Ovis aries: one gene and its partner. The main gene of each other region encodes a partner of the protein of the gene in region 2 in a complex. Links are inferred from orthologs where the notes say so. Each region holds a gene or a part of one and is shown on either strand. Other genes may lie near its edges. The genes, in order: GJC1 and TJP1.

Region 1 (3,815 bases), on a different chromosome or scaffold from region 2:
ATCTATTAAAACTTTAAACCCCGGGTAGAGTTTGCTGAACAAAGTAATAACACTAGCCTAATAAGCATTACCTTAAGGATTTTTCTCCCCTTTAATATAAAAGTATAACTACAGTGGTCCAATGTACAAATACAAAAAAAAGTTCTCATACTTAAAAAAAAAAAAGTACCATAATACTGTACATACAAAAACTGTTCAACAAGAATGATTTAAATATATCTGTTCTTTTCCAGATCTGGAAGACACAAATGTAAAGTTCTGCAACTATATTATTGCTGGAACTCGTATCCAAGAACGCTGTGTTTCCCATTCTCTCCCCCTTGCCCCAGCCCCACCTTCAGAGTCCCCTGAGCTTGGATCATGAGCCAACAGCATCCCTGAAGATAAGCAGAGCCAAATGTTTACTCAACGGAAGTCGTTTTTCAGTGAGCCGCTGCTTACCATGAACTATGAAAGCACAAGCTTTAAGCCCAGCCAAGATTAAATCCAGACGGAGGTCTTCCCATCCCCTGATTTGCTACTAGCACTGCTTTTGTTGGACCCAGCTTTGGACCCCACTTTGGCTTTTTTTCCCCGGGAACCGTGGGGGTTATTTTGGTGATTGTAGGCCTGGATGGCCAGATCCAGGCGTTCCTGAGCCATTCTGATTTCCCTCTGCAGAGTCTCCAGGTCGGGTGGGAGGCTGTCCTCATGGCTGCCGTACTGCTGTTCCTGGGCGATGTTGGCCTTGTTTTGCTTGTAGGCAATCTTAGCGTTGGACAGTTCGGTGTACTGGATTTGATCTGGTTTGACGGCAATGTTATAGCCAGGGGGAGCAGATGGCGTATTCCAAGTGAAAGGATAATTATAAGCACCCGGATCTTCCAGTTCCCTCCTTTTACTGTTTAGTGAGTCTCGAATTGTCCCAAATCCTAAATGAAGCATCTCCCAAATGTTAAGCAATAGGCAAAGGCCTGTAACACCATACATTATCAGAAGAAAGATGGTCTTTTCAGTGGGTCTAGAAATAAAGCAGTCTATCTTATGAGGGCAAGGGAGTCTGCTGCACACATAAAATGGGTGGACTTGGAAGCCATACAGGAAATACTGCCCAACCAGGAAACCCACCTCGAACACGGTCCTTGCCAGCAGCTGCAGCACATAGATCTTCATGAGCCCATCCTCCCGAATCCGCCGCCGGCCGTCATGCTTAGGTTTAGATTGGTTCTGATCTTTATTTTCTTTCTCACTTTCTAATTCCATTTCTGGATACATCATGGGATCCTCTTCATGGTCCTCTTCCGTTTCTTCCAGAGCCCGGTGCTGTTTCCAGCGCATTGCGTAGGGCTTGCTGCGAGCGGCCTTCTTGTCTGCGTCGCCGTGCTCCATCTTGGCAATCTTATGAATGGCATAGCCCAGGTACATGACCGAGGGGGTGGCCACCAGGATGATCTGGAACACCCAGAAGCGCACGTGAGAGAGCGGTGCAAAGGCGTCATAGCAGACGTTCTCGCAGCCCGGCTGCTCCGTGTTGCACACAAATTTGCTTTGCTCGTCGTAATAGATGGATTCTCCTCCTACGGCTGTAAGAACGATCCGGAAGACGATCAATACCGTGAGCCAGATCTTCCCTACAAATGTGGAGTGGTTGTGGATCTCCTCCAGTAGGCGAGTGAGGAAGCTCCAACTCATGGTGACTAAACTGGTCCGCCCTGACAAAAATGAAAAATACCAAAGAAAGATCAGCAAATACTAAAATCTTACTTTTTTTAAACTGATGATATCTTTTTCTCACCCGCTACACCACCATCAGGAAAGGCCCTTCCCCTCAGGCTATGAGCACGGGTGTATGCTGACAGGGTCTGAGGGAAGTCTGATTTCTTTTCATGTCTTCTCTAGTTTAAAAGGTAAAATTGCAGCTGTCATTTGAGATACAATTCTTAAAGCACACTGGATGTTTTACATATAGTGTTATTTCTTGGACTTTCTGAATTTTGTGAGACAGAGGAAAGAGTACAAAGGGACACTTATTCAGCCACAGTAAGACTGCCACCGAGAACACGATGGGGACGCCTGGGCTGGACTCCACTGTGAAGAGACACCTTATTGGCAAACTTAAATACCAGATCTGGTAACAAAGTATTAACAAGAATTAAGGAGATGGTAAAGCTGCAAATATTAATAACTGGCAAAGATCAAGAACTAAAATAAAAGACAGAAACTCAGAAGCCTTAGCTAGGGCTCATCACAGCAGATCCTAGCATTCTGTATTATACTTCTGTATTTTATTTATGGTTGATGTTAAAAAATGCCTGCAGACAGAAAATCCAATCAAGAGGTAAATCTACTTAAAACAGCATTTCAAACGACAATTTTATTCTGAGATTCTTAGATCTACGTTCAGAATCTTGGTAAAAACCATCTAAACAAGATAATATACCTACAGTCCCTAATTCAGCCCCTGACACAAAGCACACCTAGTTCTTCTCCTTGATCTTTCCTCTCCTGCTTCACTTCTGCAGATTACAGTTGATTATCAGCATCATCAAAGAAATTTAAACACTCCTTTTACCTGTTATCCAGAATTTCTGCTATCCAAAATTTTCTTAGAGAAATGCTTTGTTTACAACTTTTCCAGATTTTCTCTGAAAGAGAAACAGAAGAGAAGGCCATTAAGTTTTCTCCCACAGAAAACAGTAAATCACCAGAATGCCATTTTCAGGGAGAAACAGTTTTCCATGTACCACAGGAATCAATCAGCATGAGATGGAAAACAGGACTGAGCTTGAATATCACTGTTCTCTTCTCCAATACATTATGATAGGAGAAAATCCCTAAAAGTGACTCGAAGGTGCTTTAGTCACTGTAGTCTAAGAAAATATGACAGGAAGATGAATCATTTGTGAAAATCCGAAACAGATGAACTCTGGCATCTATAGGAAAAAGCCACAGCAGAAAATCTCAACGAATTTTAGCCGGGTCATTATAGGCGTTGCGAAAATCTTCACCCCACGTGCTCTATTCCTGCTCTCTTCTCTGGAGCAGCCAACTAGGAGCAAGCTGTTTATTTATGACACCCAACAGCTGGCTCCCTGTCACCAGGACACCCATATCCATAGGAGGTGATTCACAGACTCAACTGCTCACAGAAAGAAAACATCTGCACCAGTACTGTGATTACAAGTGTATATACATAGGACAAATTACTTCTCATTATCAAGTTCTGCCAACTATGGGATAGCCATGGTCACGAATCATCCTCATTTGCTATCTCTTAATTTAATAAATAAAACGTAAAATAAACCCTGAGTGTTCAAAGTTATTATATGTTCAAAATAACAAAAATTTTTTGGGTAAGATACATGAAAAAACCCCAGAACAATTCCCAAAAGGTCAATGAAGAAGGAAAAAGTTCAGAGGCATCTACATAACGTGCAAGAATCAAGATTTACATACAGAAGAGTCCAATCACACAAGTATTTCACCACAGGACTTCAAGTACAACTCTCGTTTCCAGCACTGATATCCAACTGAGCTCAACAGCTCTCCTCTCACTCTATACACAAGTTATAAAACCAAAGCAAAAGTAAATAATAAGCAATCTTTAAATGGTGATGTAAGCCAGGTTTCCATAATGAATCACATTCAAAGGGTCTAGACTCACATTTTTCCAAAATGCCATCTCTAAAGCATTTCCCTTAAAGCCTGAAATTTTATTTGTTCCAATAAGCCAAATCATGAAGGTGCAATCATTGGTTAGTTAGAAAACTCATTCTCTACACTTCCATCTGTACCAAAAACAAATGGATATCTTTTTAACAATTATTGCTATGAAA
Region 2 (3,815 bases):
ACCCCTTGACATTTAACATCTTTTCTAATGTAAGAAGCTCACACAGATGACGCCAGGGTCTAAGAACAAAGCTACACACCCCAGGCTGGATAGCATGCATGCTGAACTGCTTAACACCCACAGAAATCAAGTAAGTATGACACAGCTAACATTTCCCTTCAGAACACACTGAACTTTGTGTGGCTGACTCCATTTGATGCAAGTGATCCTTTGTTTCATCTTAACTTTGAAAATTTACATCTAAAATGAAGTGACTCACTTGGAAGAGTAACCGGCAAACTGTGGCTGAGATTGGGGGTGAGCCGGCCTGGTGGGCTCGGAGAGGTGGCTAGCGGGGACGTGGGTGGGGGGCTTGGCCTCAAAGCTTCTCCGATCGAAGTAGGAGAGCTGCTTCCGGTAGTACTCCTCATCCTCCTCGGGGTCATAGTGATTTGCCCGAACGATGTCTTCAGGTGGCTTCACATGAGGCCTCTGTGGTTCAGGGATCCTGACAACAAGTGATAAATGGAACAACATTTGAGACGTTAACTTGGCTAAGAGAACAGAATAGGTATCTCTGACCTTCCACTGACACCCTGACTACTCGTGACCTAGCTGAGCAGGGCAGCCACCAAGGCCGAAACTTGGGCCCTAAGTGCACACACATCACACTCAGAGGGCAGCCTTCTCCTAACACAACCCATCTACTGAGCTTGACAACCAGCTGGTTAGAGGCAGAGACAGAAGGGAAGGCAGACAGTGGGGAGCTCCAGCACGGGCACCACCGTCAGAACAACTGCTGAGAATGCAAGACTCTGATGCCAGGATCGATACATGATCCCCAGGTGAGGAAGGAGCTAGACAGTGACGAAAGGCAAAGGAGGTCAACCATCAGCAAAGTGAGGTATTGTTACTTAGGCCCTGCTGGGTAATTCAGAAACTCAGCATCAGAAACAGATACACTAGGCTTCACACCAAGGAGGGCTAAGCTGTCAGTTACAACACACTTACTCCGTGTGCAAGAGCCTATCTGTGAATGATCCCAGCTAAAGGAGACACCGCAGTAGTCTACATTTGCATGGAAGCACTAGGCATCAGGAAAACCAGAGGAAATGAGACAGCAGTTCCTCTTTATTACAAGCACAAATATAAGCCAATGAAACATTAGGCCAGAGAACTGCTCAGACGCAGCCCATCACTCAGCAACAGCAGGGGCAGCCACAGTGAGGAGCATGCACAGCAGGTCCCCGAAGCCTCGTTCCGCCCAGTCATCCTGATGCTGACCGTGCTCCTGACCACGGCAGGCACATGTCACAGGCTACATGCTCACTAACAGATTATGTTTGGGATTCCCAGGGTGCAGTGGTTAGGACTCAAGAGTTCCACTGCAGCGGACATGGACTCTGTCCCTCCTCAGGGAACTAAGATCCCACATGCCGCACAGTACAGACAAAAATTTAAAAAGATGAAGTTTAGTTTACAGCTATCTGTTTTCTTGTCGCTAAAAACTAACAGCCTGTGTGCCAACAGCACTATTAAACTAAAAACATCCTTCCGAAGTTAGGGCTCTAAAATTGTATATTAGCATATGTTAGAAATTTGCTAGAAAATTGTTTTCAGATTTGTTTATGGAAAGGATAACAAAGATGTGCTGCAGAAGATACATGGCAGATTTCAAGTGAAGACCCGCAAATCCCCCCCTCCCCGCCCCTCCCCAGCTGGGGCTTGTTGCCCACCCACGAGGCTGTGGAGCACCCACCTGTGTGCCGCTCTGTCGTGTTCACCGAGCTGACTCGGAGCAGGGGCTTTGGGACCTGGGACAGGAGCACCTGCCGGTTTTGACGTGACTTCTGGGGGCTGCAGAGAAAGAAGATACACATCTTAGGCATGTTGCACACTCATCACTGAATGTGTTCTGGACACAAGGCAGGGAAACGGTGATCAGATCTTTACCTTGAAACTAGTGGAATGGCTCTCATCCTTCCTGTTCTCCATGGAAGCAGACCTCTTGTTCTCAAACATCTTCACTCTGGTGAGCACGGATTGTGGCTTCATGGCTGGGTCTTCCTCCTCCTCGGCTGGAGCTGGGGGTGGAGGCAGGGGTTTGGTGCCTGTGGGCGCGGCTTCGGGCTTGTGCTGGGACGAGGGGCCAAGTGGCGGAGCAGGTGTGGTGCTGTGAAGAGGCTCATAGTGGCCTGGGCCTGCCCGGGAGGGGAAGCCCTGAGCTGGCACCGGCTCGTAACTCCGAGAGTACTGGTCCAAGTACGGCTTGGGCTCAGGGGGCACCTTGGGGCCAGTGGTGGAGTAGGGCTGCGTGTCAGGCCGGTACCTTCCATGCACGTCGTACCCAGGGGCAGGGGCGGGCGGCTCTTCGTGCCGCAAGGTGGAGGTCCTGGGCAGTGGGTCGTAGTGCGCTCGGCCTTCATAGGACAGGGACACCGGCTCCTCAAAACGGGAAAAATACCCTCGTTCTGTTGGCTCCGCGGGAGGCTGACCATCAAGAGGCCGGGGCTGGTAAGGCTGCTTGTCATCGTAGTAGGGCCACTGCTCCTCATAGGTGAGGAGGCGGTCGTCATAGCGCAGACGGGGGTCATAGTTCCGAGCAAACTGCTCCGGGTAGCCAGAGGCATCATATCTGTACGCGGGCTGCTCCAACTCCCTGCCAGCCTGCCGCTCTGTGTACGGAGGCTGCGGCTCATAGCTCAGGCCTTGCTCCTTGTCTGGCCTCTGCCCAGGGTGAGCCGCAGCCGGCTGCTTCAAGACATGGTTCTGTCTCGTCTCCTCAGGGTAGGGGTCCTTCCTGTACACCTGCGTAAACAGCCATGAGTAAGGACACAGGCTGGCTTCAATTCCTAGTCTAGTAAGAGACAGAAATGACATGTTCTACCCTTTATTACCAGGACAGAAAGAGATTAGTGGAGAAAGCAAGTTTAAGTGAAAGCTCAAAATTTATAATGCAAGTAGGGGCTTTTATGTTTCAGCATGTAACAACACTAAATGAAGTTTAGTAGAAAATTAATGCATTCAGCTGTTGATTCCACTTGATTTGGACACTGAAAATGAAAATCATAAAGAAAATTTATGGACATAATAGTTTAGAAAACGTAAAGCAGTTTACAATGGATCTGAACAATATATTAAGAAATTTTGGAAGATTCTAAAGCCAAACATTAAAAACCTATGAAAGTATTAGGTATCAATCCCAATTAAAAGGCCTACTTAAGGAATCAGGCACCACTGGAAGCCATGCAGACTGCAGAACCAGATGACTTGCAGTGATTGAGAACATGGTGTCGAGCCCACAGTAAAAGCAGAGGACACTCGAGGGAAAGCAGACGTGCTCGTGTGGCAGGCTGACGGGGAGCGGCGGGTGAGGGCAGCCCCCGCGGCACAGGTACCTTTGCTGGGCCCACATGCGACGACAGGGACGGCTCTGGACCTCTGAGCTGCACGTGAGCGGCCTCAGTGCCTGGAGCTCGTAAAGAGTCGGCGTGTGGTGAGTCAGAGGAGGGGGGAGCTGGGCTCAGCTCCTCCAGTCTGACATTAGTTAAGTCTACGTGAGGATTAACGGCAGAGGCTGATGGTGCCGGGTTTGTTTCAGGCGAAAGGTAAGGGCCTGGAGATGAGGCTTCTGCTTTCTGTGAAGTGTTTAAAATATTTTAAATATAATGCTTCTGTTCACTGCTAACTCCCCACTTCCATTTATAGTGGTTGATAGACATACATTTTAAGTGTGCTGAGTAAAAAAACTGTGACCTCATGTTCTGAATTTGTAAATTGCAGTATAATGCTGTGTGAGATTCTAAACACACAAAGTTTAGAATTAAGTCCTTGGT

Evidence for each region.
Region 1: the proteins of TJP1 (region 2) and GJC1 are in contact, whole or in part, in a crystal structure (PDB 3SHW), measured with the Homo sapiens proteins. The link is inferred for Ovis aries from reciprocal best matches to the Homo sapiens genes TJP1 and GJC1. Residues at the interface, in NP_003248.3 of Homo sapiens: Lys429, Ser432, Val433, Gly434, Leu435, Arg436, Leu437, Gly449, Val450, Leu451, Val484, Leu487, Leu488, Leu549, Asn551, Gly552, Lys553; in NP_001073852.1 of Homo sapiens: Lys391, Thr392, Ser393, Val394, Trp395, Ile396.

What each region holds. Positions count from the first base shown.
Region 1 is NC_056064.1:44,264,123-44,267,937, forward strand, and holds part of GJC1 (gap junction gamma-1 protein), read right to left. Parts: exon of another isoform or gene 2,724-3,815; intron 2,625-2,723; 5' UTR 2,552-2,624; intron 1,692-2,551; 5' UTR 1,672-1,691; coding exon 481-1,671; 3' UTR 1-480. UniProt on the Homo sapiens protein: One gap junction consists of a cluster of closely packed pairs of transmembrane channels, the connexons, through which materials of low MW diffuse from one cell to a neighboring cell.
Region 2 is NC_056071.1:26,241,119-26,244,933, forward strand, and holds part of TJP1 (tight junction protein ZO-1), read right to left. Parts: intron 3,618-3,815; coding exon 3,378-3,617; intron 2,788-3,377; coding exon 1,933-2,787; intron 1,837-1,932; coding exon 1,739-1,836; intron 488-1,738; coding exon 260-487; intron 1-259. UniProt on the Homo sapiens protein: TJP1, TJP2, and TJP3 are closely related scaffolding proteins that link tight junction (TJ) transmembrane proteins such as claudins, junctional adhesion molecules, and occludin to the actin cytoskeleton.